2 linked regions of the Astyanax mexicanus genome follow. The main gene of each other region encodes a partner of the protein of the gene in region 2 in a complex. Links are inferred from orthologs where the notes say so. Each region holds a gene or a part of one and is shown on either strand. Other genes may lie near its edges.

Evidence for each region. Proteins that work in one complex are often made in the same cells at the same time.
Region 1: the proteins of oprm1 (region 2) and pomca are in contact, whole or in part, in a cryo-EM structure (PDB 8F7Q), measured with the Homo sapiens proteins. The link is inferred for Astyanax mexicanus from reciprocal best matches to the Homo sapiens genes OPRM1 and POMC. Residues at the interface, in NP_000905.3 of Homo sapiens: Ser66, Met67, Ala70, Ile71, Met74, Gln126, Asn129, Tyr130, Leu131, Met132, Gly133, Trp135, Val145, Ile146, Asp149, Tyr150, Met153, Arg213, Ile217, Asp218, Cys219, Thr220, Glu231, Lys235, Val238, Ile298, Val302, Lys305, Trp320, Ile324; in NP_000930.1 of Homo sapiens: Tyr237, Gly238, Gly239, Phe240, Met241, Thr242, Ser243, Glu244, Lys245, Thr248, Pro249, Leu250, Val251, Leu253.

The regions. Positions count from the first base shown.
Region 1 is NC_064421.1:29,040,633-29,048,249, forward strand, and holds pomca (proopiomelanocortin a), read left to right. Parts: upstream 1-4,560; 5' UTR 4,561-4,575; coding exon 4,576-4,708; intron 4,709-5,300; coding exon 5,301-5,443; intron 5,444-6,912; coding exon 6,913-7,443; 3' UTR 7,444-7,613; downstream 7,614-7,617. Other genes in the region: angiopoietin-related protein 7, read right to left, coding at 827-1,244, 2,615-2,655.
Region 2 is NC_064414.1:43,643,076-43,651,178, forward strand, and holds the start of oprm1 (mu-type opioid receptor), read left to right. Parts: upstream 1-5,047; 5' UTR 5,048-5,383; coding exon 5,384-5,619; intron 5,620-8,103. UniProt on the Homo sapiens protein: Receptor for endogenous opioids such as beta-endorphin and endomorphin. Receptor for natural and synthetic opioids including morphine, heroin, DAMGO, fentanyl, etorphine, buprenorphin and methadone.

The sequences.
Region 1 (7,617 bases), on a different chromosome or scaffold from region 2:
TCTGGTCCTGATAAACTGGTTCCCTGTACACTTGCTGAATGTATATGCCTAATTTTAAGAATTTTATCAGATTTGTTAGCTGCTAGTATCAGATGTGTTTGAGCGTCTGATCTTTATGTTCTCCATAAAGTACAATATTTATATACATATATGAATAAAAAACTGTTTTAAGGCTCTGACAGCAGCAGTGTCTGCAGGCCATGTGTTTGTGGTGCTGCAGTGTAATCCAGTTATTGTACAGGGTTAAGGAGGTATTAGTGGGGGAACACTGGGAAAACACTCGCTATACTTTGTCTCAGCAAAAGCAGTATTAATAACATCCTGCAGCTCTGCTCTACACGTGCTCAAAACATTATTTAAAAGAAAATAATATAGTTGTGTGAGAGTGTAAAAAAAGGTTTACAGTTTACAGTATAGTTGTATGAAAAAATGAAGAGTAAAAAAGATCCACCATAACTTATCTTAAAAAAATATATATTTTTAAAATCTAAATAAAAAAAGGAGAATTTTTTTATTCAATTAGAACAGTAGGATCTATTGAGTACAACACTGCCCTCTAGTGGGCAAGGCTAAAACACAACACTAAATAAACCCCTTCTGACACCAATTTCTACAATTAAAGTAATATCATAATTAAAAATCAGTACTGTGTTTTTAAAAACGAAAAAAAAATATTGCCAAACAATACAATGTCAATATTTTTTACAGGCCTATTTGAAATTGTAATCATAAATGTGGGTGTATCCTAATATGTTTTCTGTCTTATGTCTTGTTAAAATATCAATTATATTTTATGAATCCTTTTTTCAGATTCTTTTTTTCTGACCTGTAACTCCAGAACTTTGATGCGATGTCTGTGGTTTCTCAGCTCCTCCTGAAGCTCTGAGATTGTCTCCTTCAGGTCTTGCATTTGCTGTTTGCGCTCTTCGTTCTCATGTAGCCAGTAGGAAACCTCGTCTGTGCAGCGGAACATGTCGGGACAGCGCTGTTCCTCCAGCTGGGGCAGCGTGGCCATCAGGCGGCACTGCCCGTTTGGCATCACCTCGTTACTGTACTCCCCGCACTGCATCAGGCCGCTGCTGATGAGATGCGTGTCTGTCTGAGAAGAGTCTGTTTGACTTGAATCCGATTCCTGATAGTCGGATTCCTGGGTGTCGGTGCTGCAGAGAAGCGTCTGGCAATACAGCAACCAGTACCAGTACCGGTACAGCAGAGTCCACTTCATCCTGCACTGGAGGAAAAGCCTTGATAAGGAACAATAATAACTTTAATTCTTTTTAATATACAGTTTTTACAGCATCTGTTACTGACTGATGTTCATTATAGGGAAATTTTAAGTCTATTCCAGTTATTCATTCATTTATTTTCCCTCAGATAAAATTCCACTGAATTCCACAGTAATTAAAATACTTGATGTGAATGCGATTAAATGTGATTTATTGAGATTAATTAGTCAGAGAATGTAATGAATTAGATACATTTTTAATTGTCTGAGAATAGTTTTTATGCGTTGTTCTCTGGTGCATTATATAATCATGGTTTATTAAGACATTAGCACCAATTACAACAGTACAAGTTACACAAAATACACAATGTACACAAGTTACAAAAATGATTTTACTTTTTATATGTAAATGTTTTAATTCCATAAACTACTTACAGCATTTCTTCCAAGTTCCAATTTCCAAATTCCATTTATTTACAGAAAAAGAGAAATGGTTAAAATAACAAAGGGATTAAGTGCTTTCAGACCTTAAATAATGCACAGAAGAAAAAGTTCATATTCAATTAGAAACAACAATAATAATGTTTTAGGAGTTCAGAAATCAATATTTGGTTGAATAATCCAAATATTTAACTTAATTAAATTTACATGCATCTTGGCATGTTTTCCTCCAGTCTTACATGCTGCTTTTGGATTATTTTATACCACTCCTGGTGCAAAAAATCAAGCAGTTTACCTTCCTCTTAATTACATTCCAGAGGTTTTGAAGACAAACTGCTTTATTATTTCAATATTTCTCATTAATGCTGAATTCTATACTTGAGGAACCGGCTGTTAACCAGCGTTTTTAAGATGTTGTACATTTTTATCTTTTCAGGATTCTCAGAAAACTGGCAATTATCATGAATAAAACATAGTGCTGTCAACATTAAAAATAATTTTGAAACTTTTTTATGCAAATTAATCACAAGTTTTACAGAGCCAGGTGACATATAAATAATAAAATCTCTTTCTCCCTCTCTTTTTCTCTCCATCTTTCCCCCTCTCCCTCTATCTCTCCATCTCTCTTTTTGTTTGATATTTTAGTTTTAACTTTTATTTTACATTCTACCTAAATGTTATACATTCATTTGTTGTTTGTGTTTTATATATTCTACCGGTATTTGTTTTTTTATTTTATTATTCATTTTATTATTTATACCCTGTAGTTTGATGTGATTGCATTTCTCTGCTAGTTGTTCTGAGTGTGATTTTATATGTGACAAATAAAGTTTTAACTTGTATTAAAATCTATTGGGAGACATTTCTACCACTAAGTTTCCATATTAAAATAGACCGTAGTGTTTACAGAAGTTACAGGAACATATAAGTGTAGAAAAGCAACGTTACCTGATTTCAGCAGAGCAGCTGGCGGCGAGGAGAGACGGCATGACCCGTCTGTTTCCCCGAGAGAGAGAGAGACTCTCGGCCGGGCCGAACGTCGTTCCTCACAGACATCTTATCCCATAATCCTCTTTAATAGGATTCCTACAGCAGAGCTTCTGCAGTAGGAACAAAAAGTGGGGGGCAAATATGGTAATATGGGTTTAATATAGTGCTGGATGATATGGCCAAATTTATATTACAATATATTTCTTAATTTCAGTGATATATTTGTAATGTGGATAGGAACATTGTAAAATCTGTGCTGTACATCACACACTGGCACTGCCAGCCTACAGTATCTATAGCATATACAACACTATATACAATCTATAGCATATACAATCTATAGCTCTTACAACACTAGACCAGTTTAATACAGCGGCTCCCTTATTTACTCTAAACATTTTAAACTATTACAATAATGTATATTACAAGTGGTAACAGTTAAGCTGGAGATGGTTAGAGATAAACAGAAAACGTTAAGCAGTTAACAATAAGTGTTAGGTGACAAGTGGTAAATATTGAGGCGGTAGATATTAAGCAAGACAGTAAACATTAAGCGGTAGGAGTTAAACATTAAGCGCTAGGCGGAAGATATTAAGAATTTTTTTCCCTAAAAAATCTTTTTTTATTTGTGTTTTATTTTTAGTAAGTTGTAAATGGGACAGACGTTCAGCATCTGTGTGTAAATATTGATGGTCAGTGGTAATCGTTAAGGGGTAGACAGTTAACGCTTAGTGGTATGTGTTAAGTAGGGGTGGGCGATATGGCCCTAGAATAATATCACGATATTTCATGGTATTATCGCGATAACGATACTCTTGGTGATGTGACAAAAAAATTAAAAATACACTACTGCAACAAAACGAAACTTACATTTTATTATTGAATACGGTATGATTTTGCACACCTCTAACTAAGATATTTTAAAAAACAAGCAGATTTTAGCAGATTTGTAACAGAAGTCAATGATTCAGAATGTGATGATACTACCAATAATAATGCACTCCATATATCTCCATATATCCAGGATTAAAGTAAAATAAATTATACTGAACAGATATAATATGTCTCTAGTATATATTTAATAGGAAATGGGAATAGTGTTAATTTTTCTTTTGCTTAAAACAGCCAAAAAAGTAGTACCCTGATGTGATAATTAGAGGTGGGTGATATGGCACGATATTTCAGGGTATAATATCGTTCACGATATTCAAAAATGTTGGCGATATTATCGCGTACGATACGATATGGTACACCTCTAGTGTTAAGTAGTAAATGTTTAGCGATTGGCAGTAAGTAGTAAATGTCAATCGGTAGGTGGTAGGCCTTAAACTTTAAGTGGAAGACAGTAAATGTTCAGTGGTAGGTGGTAAACATTAAGCAGTAGGTGGTGAGCGATAGGTAGTTAGCAGTAAACGTTAAGTGGTAGGCAGTAAATGTTAAGCGGTATGTGGTAAACGTTAAGCAGTAGGCGATAAACATTAAGCGGAAAACATTAAGCGGTAGGCAGTAAATGTTAAGCGGTATGTGGTAAATGTAAAGCTGTAGGGGATAAACATTAAGTGGTAGATATTTATCTTTTTTTTTCTTGAAAATGACTCAATATCTTTTTTAATTTGTGTTTTAATTTACAGTAAGTTGTAAATGGGACAGAGGTTTATCACCTGCGTGTCGGTGACCGGACAGACTGACGTATGGAAAATCAGTTGGAGTTAAAATTTCAGCTTTTATTATTAAAGTCAGGTAAACTGATCCTGCTGCCCTTCAGATTTTCTCTTTAACAGAGAACTGATAATCCCGACCGACCAGTCGCTGTGTGTGCGTCAATTTGTCGTGGCTGGATGGTCTGAATAGGTTGGGATTGGTCTGTGTGCGGTAATTAGTCGTGGCTGTAATGGTTGGGATTGGTCATGTTCTGATCTATGAGCGTGTCCTTGAGCACAGTGCGAGTCAAGGCTTATAAAAAGGAGCAGCCGGAGGATTCGGACCTCAGAACCAAGTTACAGAACGGCAGAATCTTCTCATCACTTCAATCCTCATTTATCATCAAAACAGGTGAGTCTCTGACTGCATCCATTTACATTAAAATCCTTCAATCAGTATTCAGTTCAATAGTTGCTTTTGTACAACTAAACTATTTTAGTAATGTTCTGTTTATAGGTACTTTATCTTTAGTTTGTTTTAGATCTTTAAATGACATCTATATTGATAAAAAGTTACAGTGGTATATTACAGCTGTGTATTAGCAACTTGGCGTTACGATGACGATACATCAATATATATTGCAATACATTGTTTACGATTTAAAGCAAGACCATATATTACAATTGTTTAAAAACGTTTTTTATATTTATATATTAAATTATATTTGTAAAATCTATATAAAAGTAAAGTTATTTTTTATCAAATCAGAACAGTGGGATCTAACAACAAAGTACAACACTGCTATCTAGGGAGCAGAGTTTAAACACTAAATTAACCACTTCTGATATTAATCTTTACACCTAAACTAACCATTAATAATTAACCAGTTTTAAAAAATGATACGTAATGAAATGAAATATCATGACACAGATATATGCTCATTTATGATGAATTAGTGCTGGTGCTGCTGTGGCTGAGGTTCTGAGGTGGTTTGGTTCTGCAGGTCCGGTGATGGGGTTGAGGATGGAGGCGTGTCCGGCATGGCTGCTGGCTCTGGCGATACTGTGTGCGATCGGCAGCGAGGTGAACGCCCAGTGCTGGGAGAACGGACCCTGCAGAGACCTCAGTTCTGAGGAACAGATTCTGGTGAGGCACTGAACTTAAGCTGACCAATTCTATTCAGTTTACCTAATCTTACTAATTTAATTCAATAACAAATTAGTTTATTAACGTTTTTTATTTTGGCCAAAATTATTTAATTTTTAAGTTTGCAGTGCTAGTATTCACCCTCCGGGCTTGGGGCATTACTAGTGACGGGGGAGTCCTAATATATGTAATAACATATTAACATATTAATAATGAAACACAAAAGATCAACAGATTATCAATCTAACTTTTACAGATAAAAGAAAGTATACTAATTATAATTTCCGGATGTTACTAGGGCTGGAACGATTATTTTAATAGTCGACTAATCTGTCAATTATTTTTTTCAAATTATAATCAGATAAAAACGCGGGAAGCAAAATTAGATTTTTATCTGATATACAGCCAAGGCGCTTTGCTTCCACGGTTTTCATTGGGGGTACCAACTGTACTTATAATATATCTACGTATAATTACGTAAACCCAACTAATCAGTTATTAAATTAGTTGCCAATTATTTTACTAATCAATTTTAATTGATTAGGTCAATTTTTTGTGGCAGCTCTAGATGTCACATGCTTAACAATATAGGTTATGCTTATTGGTTCAGATTTTGAGGATGCTTTCACCCTGCCTTGTCCAATTTGGAATTTTAGACTTTTCAGTTTGATCCAAACCAGAATAGCGTGTGTGTGAAATATACCGCCAACTATAGTCAAGTTTAGTGGATGATGATCCGGTCGGTTTACAGTGTGAATCCCCTTTATTTAATCAGACCAATTACAGGAAGTTGAGTCAGGCTATGGTCACCTATTAAACAAAAAAGAAGAAAAAGGAGAATCTAACACTGATTATTGTATTTACATTTAAATAACCAGTATTATAATCTAACCCTTAGCCTAGTCTCAAGAAGAAAAGGCGTAATTTATTTTTTTAAAATAATGACATGACATTGTTAATTTGCATTAATTCTTTCTGACTGATGTAGATGTCATTGAAAAAGTAATGATTGTTGATTTTTAAAATATTATTAAAATATTTTTTAATGCAAAGACACTTTGCTTTACACTAACTAAAGTTAGGGGACTGATTCAGAAATTCACTTAAAAATGTGTTTTTTTTAGCTGTACCAATCCATCAAAAATCAAATCAAAATAATCACTTTTTAATGACATTTCTTTATGTGGTGTTCATTACTTTTTGTCGTATTTCTCTGTATTTTGGTAGGGAGACAGTAATAGCTGTGATATAGCCTTTATTCTCTTCATTATAACAGTTAACCCCCTTTACGGGTTTCTAATGTGATGGGCGTTTCCAACGACACCACCAATTAGAGGCAGCAAAAGGTGGAGCTAGTGTCTCAGCCCTAAGTAGGCAGAGACTAGAGGCTTTTAGATTCTTTAACATAAGCAGCAGGAGTTTATTTTATTAACAATGGGGATTCTATACTTCTTTCTGTTTTCTCTCAGGACTGTATGAAGTTGTGTAAGTCTAATCTAAAGATGGAGTCTCCTCTGTTTCCGGGAGAGGGTCATCTCCAACCTCTGCTGGAATCGCTGACGGGTGAGAACCCTGCCGCTCTGCCCGACGAGGACGCTCCAGAGCCAGCAACACTGCGCGAGGACAAGCGCTCGTACTCCATGGAGCATTTCCGCTGGGGGAAACCCGTCGGCCGCAAACGTCGCCCCATCAAGGTATACACAAACGGGGCAGAGGACGAGTCGGCCGAGGCCCTGCCCGCTGAGATGAGGCGCGAGGTGTTTGGCGGGGAGAATGACTACCCCCTGGAGGACAGTCTGTTCAGCCCTTTTGACACCTTTGGCCCACAAGACAAGAAGGACGGTTCCTACAAGATGAACCACTTCCGCTGGAGCGAGCCGCCCGCAAGCAAGCGCTACGGAGGCTTCATGAAGTCCTGGGATGAACGGAGCCAGAAACCTCTGCTCACGCTCTTCAAAAACGTCATCAACAAAGACGGACACCAGAAGAAGGACCACTGAGGAACATTAGAGCAACATAAAATACAGTGTAGATAGTGAGAGAAAGAGAGAGAGAAAGAAAGAGAGGATGGGTTTTTATAATTCTCACTTTATAATACATTGATATTGATTGATATTGATATAGCAGCACTATTACACTGTACTACACAATAAACATCATTGTACATAGACTAC
Region 2 (8,103 bases):
CAGAATGAGCCATTTAAGGGCTCTGTCACTTTTATGCAAATAAGCTTTTGCTGTTGATGTCACAATAAGAGAGTGATCCAAATAGTTCAGAGAAGCATATGATTCCTGAAACTCAACTCTGTTAACTGATTCACAAAAAATTAGTGGATGGACTTTTTTTCCAGGCAGCCGAGATCCAGGCGGAAACAGAAAAATTGAGTTTCGCGTATACTGACTGGCCAAAAAAAAGTCGGCACCAAAAATGTGTTGGACCGCCTTTAGCTTTGATTCACTGTAGCATTGTTTCAATAAGCTTCTGCAACGCCTCAAGATTTACTTCAATCCAGTGTTGCATTAATTTTTCACCAAGATCTTGCAGCAGCATTGATGATGGTAGAGTCTGACCACTGCACAAAGCCTTCTCCAGCACATCTCAAAAATTCTCAATGAGGTTAAGGTCTGGACTCTGTGGTGAACTCTCTCAATCCATGTGTGAAAATGATGATCTCATGCTCCCTAAATCACTCTTTCACAATTCCAGCCCCATGAATCCTGACATTGTCATCTTTGAATATACCCGTATCATCAGGGAGCATCATCAAGAAGAAATCCATTGATGGAATAACCTGGTCTATATTCAGTATATTCAGGTAGTCAGCTGACCTCATTCTTTCAGCACATACTGTTGCTGAACCTAAACCTGCAGACCAACTGCAGCATGAACCCCCACATCATTTACTTACTTAAATCCAGGTGGAGACTTTTTTTGGTCAGACAGTGTACATGACAAACAATTCAAAATATCCACAACTCTAGGTCACTCTAGGTAAGGAACTTGAAAAGCTGTAATAGGGTGCAGGCATGCATGACAAGAAGTAAAAAGTACAAATAAAAAGTGACTAAGCTGAAAAAATGTGTAGTCTGAAGTCTTATAAATATTATAAATAAAAGAAAAGAAAGTTTTAAAGGAACAAAGTGCACAGTATTCTGATAATAACCCACTTGTCAAGGTCTTCTGCAATGGCTTTTTTTCATATTACTAATATAATACATATACTATATAATATATAATTCTTCTAAAGCTGTATTACTTGGATCATAACTTGTACTATAACTATCTGTGCACCCCAGCAATGATTCATGACTTGAAGTCTTGGTGCCTTCTTCATTTTCCTGCTGCAAACACCCTCTATTGTCTGTTGTAAAAGCTGTTAGGGGCCTGTAAAAGAAAGCGGAGCTCAGCTGAATGAGAAGATGGGAAGATGGTGCTTGAGAGAGAAAATATTTATAAAATGTGTTGTTTTCTGATGGTTCATAACCCTGTCTTTGTGGCCAAATGATTATCATCACCTTGCTCATGATTCCTGTCCACTCATTCCTTTCTGCATTAGCATTAAAATGACCCTCTTCCTCCTGTCTTTGAGGTGATAACTGCCTTCCTATTCATCTTTGTTCAGCACCATATTCCCTTTTTTCTCGCTCCTTGGCTTCTTCATGCATTTTTTCCTTTCATCTTCATCTTCTTGCACCTTTTTCTTCTTCCCCTCACCCGCTCCTCAAACTCCTCTTCATCCGCCTCTTCTTCTCTCTCTCTATTAGAGTGCATATTAAACCCACTGAAAATATGCATTCTTTAGACTGGACCAGGCTGCTGACAGACTGCTGATCGACTCAGCTCTGCCCGTGCATTATTATCTGTCTGCACGTGAATAAAGGCGCCATCTGCAGATCCTGCCTCCTGACTCTTTAGTGCAGAGTGTCTGTATTGTGTTTCTGTTGGCAGAACTTCATAAACTAAACTAAAAAAAAGCTAAAAAAAAAAAAATGCACCTGGCCACCAACAGCGATAGACAATGTTATCTGATTAGAGGTAGGTTGTTATCAAGTGATCAAGTGAATGTCAGGACCATGTCAAATGCCAACGTCTCTTTGGTGCAGATGAATGTCAATGGCTAAAGCTAATATTTTGTTGATTTTAAGTTGTGATGTTAACCCTTGTGTGGTGTTCATATTTTTGTTACTCGTTTACTTTGTTACTTGAATTTAATTCAGCAAAATCAAGCATTTTTACATTAAAATGCTTTACACATGCTTGCTTCACCTAAATTGCAAGCAATATAAACAGCTTACATGGTTAATATTTGCCCTTTACCTTTCTTATGTTACATTTCTTTCAAAAAGTGCTACTCTTTTTTTTATTAGTTTTTTAATAAAATGTAAAAGAAAATTAATTTAACTCAAGATATGAGTAGAAAATTTCTTTAGTTTCAAATTTACAAATGAAGCAATGTTTATTAGCCCATGGCTAATTATCTTCCAAATGTCAAATGCCAACATTACACTGATATATAATACTGTAATGACCGGCAGGGGGATGAAGCAACAGGCAGCATGATCTCAGCAAAAGCTCTTTTATTGAACAGGGTACCGCTCCCTCACAGCTCTTAGCCTGGAGAGTAAAACTCCCAACCCAAACACACCCCCATAATGCTCTTAATTAGCTTAACCCCACCCCCACATTATAGGCTGACCCACATAAACATGAACAACTCGTTTTAAGATAAAATGTTGTTTATGTATAGTTATCAGTATAGTGTTATCAGAGTCTAACGTTCATTATTGCTAAATGTGTGAGTTTGATATCCAATGGAATTTCAACATTTATACAATGTTAAGTTTGACATCAATTAGATTTCCATTTTATTGTTGCTTTTTTTTGCGATCAATTATTTATTATTTATTTATTTATTTATTATTATTTATTTTCATTTTTATACACATTACCAGCAACAATGTACATTACAATATTGAAGAACAAAACAAAAAAAAAAATGAGGGTGATTGTGTATGCCACCCTCGAACTCCCTCCCCCCTCCCCAAGGCACCCCACCCCCATTTTACTGTTGCTTTTGATTAGTAACTAAATTCAGCATCTATACAATATTGGGTTTTATTGTAAATTTTCATTTTCAACCAATGGCATAAGGATCCAGCAATTTGTGATGTCTTTCTGAGGCATTTGATTGTCATCTGGTGTCTGTTAGGGAGTGTTTATCATTTGAGTTTTTCATGGAAAACATGAATCGAAGTACATGAATCAGCATGTGATCAATGAATTTCAATCATTTTACTCGTACTTTCATAACATGTTGATAATGAAGACTTTAAAACCATCCTCTGTTCAAGAAAACAAGCTAATGGAATATAAATAAAGATCTTACCACCTTATTCATCCTTCTAGAACCCATGTATGACCCCCCTCCCCCCCAGGCAAGGCATGAGGTCAGTAGAGTTGAGGATGACAGAGTGTGGCTCTGACATGTAAGAAGGTCTTCAGATCTGTGTTTTGTATGGAAGGACATCAGGTGCGATGCTTGTGAAACAGACACATGAAGAGAAGATACAATGACCAGGCCTGTTCTCCATCTGGGGACATTAACTGATTCATTGTGTGAGTTTTCTATTCCATGAACAAGTGACTGAAGGGTTTTTGAAGTAATTGATTCAGTCAGGGGTTTAAAGTGATTCACCAACTAAAAAAATACCAATTCCAAAGTGAGATGGAATAAAAATTTTGTGAGTGATGTCATGTTATAAACATGTGACTGAGTGAATGATTCAGTGAATGAATGGATCAACAAATTATAAAATGATTCAATGAATGAGTAAATGATTCAGTGAGTGATTCAGTGAGCAAATTAAGGATTTATTTATTAAGTGAGTGAATGGTTCAGTTGATAAGTGAGTCATTTAGTTAATGAGTGACTGATTCAGTTAATGAGTGACTAATTCAGTGAATGAGAGAATGATTCAGTGAATGAGTGACTGATTCAGTAAATTTATGTTGTGATGAGTAAATGAATAGATTGAATGAATAAATTATCAATTCACTGTAAATGGGTGAATGTTCTATTGAATCAGACCGAGTAGGTAAAGAATTCAGTAAATGTGTGAGTGAATTAGTAAATAACTAATCCAGTAAATAAGTTAACTGAATGATTAATTAAAAAATACATAAATGTGTGAGTGAATTAGTATCCAGTAAATATGTTTAGTGATTGAGTGAGTGAATAATTCAATAAATTAGTAAATGACTGATTCAGTAAATGAGTGGGTAAATGACAGATGTGATAAATGAGTAATTGAATAATCCAGTGTCTGATTAAGTAAATAAAAAAGTGAATAATTCAGATAATTGTTCAGTGAACAATTTAGTAAATGAGTGAGTGAATGGGTCAGTAAAAATGTAAATGACTGATTTAATGAAACAGTGAGTAATTGGTTCAGTGAAGGCTTCAGTCACATGTTATAAATATGTGAGTGAATGATTTAGTGAAAGAGTAAGTGACTGATTCGGCAAATTAATACGTAATTCATTTAGTAAATTAGTGAGTAATAATTTAGTTAAAGAGGGAGTAAATTACAAAAAAATCGACTCAGTGAAAGTGTACATAAATATTATGTAAATAAGTAAGTAAATGATTCAGTAATAGGTAAATAATTTGGTAAACGAGTAAGTGAATGATTCATTTAATGAGTGAGTGAATGATTCAGTTCATTACCTAAATGAGTGAATAAATGATTCAGTAAATGAGTGCGTGAATAAGTGAGTGAATGATTCAGTGAATGAGTGAGTGAATGCTTTAGTTCATCACCTGAATGAGTGAGAGAATAATGTATAAATGATTCAGTAAATTATTAAGTTAATAAGTGAGTGAATTATTCATATAATGAGTGAATGATTCAGTTCATCGCCTGAATGAGTGAGTGAATTAATCAGTTAATAAGTGAATGTATGGTGTATATGATGAGTGAGTGATGCAGTTCATCGCCTGAATCAGTGCGTTAAGGATAAATTTAATTGGTGACTGAGTGAAAGAATGAATAAATTAAATAATGGCTTTAAAGGACTTTAAAATCAGAGATTTTGATGAGAGAGATAACTCCCTGCTCTTCTTCACTCAGTCATTAAGCGCAACCTCAGAGTCTCTTTTCGAAAAGCGCCCGAGCCTGGGGTCACGTGCCTTTGGTGCGTGACGTCATTTCGCAGCATAAAACGAGAGAAACCCTGGGCGCGCGCGTGTGCGTGTGTGTGCGTACGTGTACGCGCGGGGCGCTGATGACAGGACTGGCCGCGTGAGGAGCGCCGGCGGACACTGCGGTGGGGAGTCAGGAGCGCGCGGGCAGATACACAGGTGTGCTGAGAGGTTAGAGAGAAAGAGAGAGAGAGAGAGAGAGAGAGAGAGAGAGAGAGAGAGAGAGAGAGAGAGAGAGAGACAGAGAGAAAGCGAGAGAGAGAAACAGAGAGAGAAACAGAGAAAGAAACAGAGAGAGAGGCTGTAGAAGTGTAGTGAGTGATAAACTGCGCGGATCTCTCCGTTCCTCACTCCGGTAGCTAGTCGTTATGGAGAGCGGCGTGAACGCGTCGGACGCCCCCCAGTTCAGCAGCAGCGCCGCGTTCTGCCGAAACTTCAGCGGCAACGCGAACCTCTCAGACCCGGACAGCAGATGCAACCGGGCGGGCGAGATAAGCGAAAGCTCCACTCCCGTGATCATCGCCATCATCATCACCGCCGTCTACTCCATCGTGTGCGCGCTGGGACTGGTGGGCAACGTCCTGGTCATGTATGTCATCATCAGGTAAGACGCGTGGAGTCACTCACTGTGGTTCTTTATTTCTCTCCTCCAAAAAAAAAGAATGAAAAAAAAAAAAACACAATAACTCTCACAGGTGTCCAGGTGCTCTGTTCTGCTCTGCTGCTTATGGACACATGGGGAGAGTGGGCTACCTGTTGAACCACTGTAAAGGTCTGGATTGGGAGTCAGTCCCTGCTGACGAACTCTGTTTTTGATACAGTTTTAGTGGTCTAATCTGGTATTTGGTAGTTTCATGCAGAAACAAGCTCTTTACTGGTGAGCTAGCTGCTCAACCAACTTATGTCCAGCATAGAGTTTGTTGCATTTGTTTGTGGTCAGACTGGTGGCCACGCTTGGCCTTGCTGTTTTTACTTGCTTTGTCTTTGTGGTCTTGTTGGTTGACCAGCTTGGTCTAGCTAGGTCTTGCTAGTCAACCAACTTGGTATTGATGGTCTTTGTGGTCTTGCTGGTTGACCAGCTTGATCTAGCTTGCTTTTGCGGGTCTTGCTGGGTGACCAGCTTGGTCAAGCTTGCTCTTGCAGGTCTTACTAGTCAACCAGTTGGTCTAGCTTTGTCTAGCCTGGTCTTGCTGGTCAACCAGTTTGGTCTAGCTAGGTCTTGTTGGTCTTGCTGGTCAACCAGCTTGGTCTTGCTGGTCTAGCTTTGTCCAGCTTGGTCAAGCTTGGTCTTGCTTGTCTTGATGGCCTTGCTGGTTTACCAGCTTGAAGTTGTTTTGCTTGGTGAGGTTCATCATGCTTGTAGACCAGTTAAAACCTCAAACTGAAATGAAAACATACTCTGTTCCGGTCAAAATGTAGACTGGTTAACCAGCTTTGAGCTGGCCATGCTGCTGTGTTTAGCAGGGTATTCTTACATTTCAGTGTTGTTCTGCAAGTGCCCAGCTGTAGAGAAGAATCTGTTCTTCCCTGAAGCTTTTCTGTATCATGCTATGCCACATGCCAGATATGGCTGTGTGTGTGAGAGAAAGAGAGAGAAGGAGAGAGACTCTATAAGAGTCAGTGCCTCATGAACTTAATGTCACATTAGTACAGATCACAATCACAAGGGAAATATAAACAAAACAGTATTACAGTGACATTAGCATCTGTAATATTACTCTGATGTGGAGATGTCTGGTGTGATGTGCATGTTGTAAACACCTATTAAGTTCTGTACTGTGAGACAGACAGTACCGGAGGGGACTGATTCCTTGACTAGAGTTGCATAGAATATTTGGCAAACGGAATTATTCAGCCATAAATGTAAAAAAAAAATGTAATTTATCCAGAATAATGGCTTATTTATGTTGTGGGATGTTAAAATGTTTAGTAATAATGCAAACCTGTAAAAAGAAACATGTTTGGTATTCATGTTTTGGTATTCTGACTTCAACCAGTTTTGCTCAGTTTCAAGTTTTGGTCAAACATTATTCATTTCTGTGCACCTGTAGAATTGAAGAAATGAAAATGGCAGTTAAATTGAATTATAAACACATTCTCTATTGTTCATTGTGTGTTTGGCCTATTCTAGAATTGCAGGGACATTTCAGGGATGGAAAGATTTGACTCATCAGTAATTCTGTTATCGCTGACAGTAATACATAATTTATGCCTTAAACAGAAATCTCATGACATGTTAAAACAGGCAAAGTCATTTGCATTGTACTTCATTATATAGATATGTTTATATGATTGCAGCATTCAATTTAATACAACATTATTAAATGTAGTTAATATTTTAAAGGGTCAGTTACAGATGTTATGTTTGCTCTTTTCCTATCTCTTATGTTGCTGTAGTAAAATCAGATCTGCTGTAGGGATACAACAATTAATAAATAATAGTATTTTTATATTATATATATTATTTTTTGTAATACATTTTTGATTCTCTCAAAAAAAGTATAGAATTTTAATTCATAGATTATTTATTAACATGTAAAAATTGATAGCAGACAGTGGTTCATTTCACTTTAAGTTAAAATCCCTCCAACTAGACCACCGTGTTGTGCAGATCTTACTGTTCTGATTGGATAAAAGGTGAACTCTACTTCTACCGAGATGTCATATATCATATAATCATATAGTAGTGTGTTTTTCACACCATTATATTTTTCCTACAGTTTAATAAAAAGAAAATGCAGTATGTTGTCATGCTTACAGTATTGCAATATATCACAATATATTAAATTGTATCCCCTTTATCATGATATGTATAGTATCGTCAGGCTCTTGCCGGTTCACCGCTCTAGTACGAGTCTATTGTTTTTTGAGCTTTGAAACACAGTTCCTAGTTCACCACTAAACCCAGGCGTGGTGTCCTGCATAAACATGAATAAACAGAGAGAGCTTAAGTCATGGCAGTTAGTAAAAGGCAGGCTTTTAATCAAATGTGGAGATTTAATAGGATCCACCATCTAGCACATACCACCAGACCCAGAGCAGTGTTTGTGTGCTGAGTCAGTTGTCTGAGTGATTCATTGTTTACTGA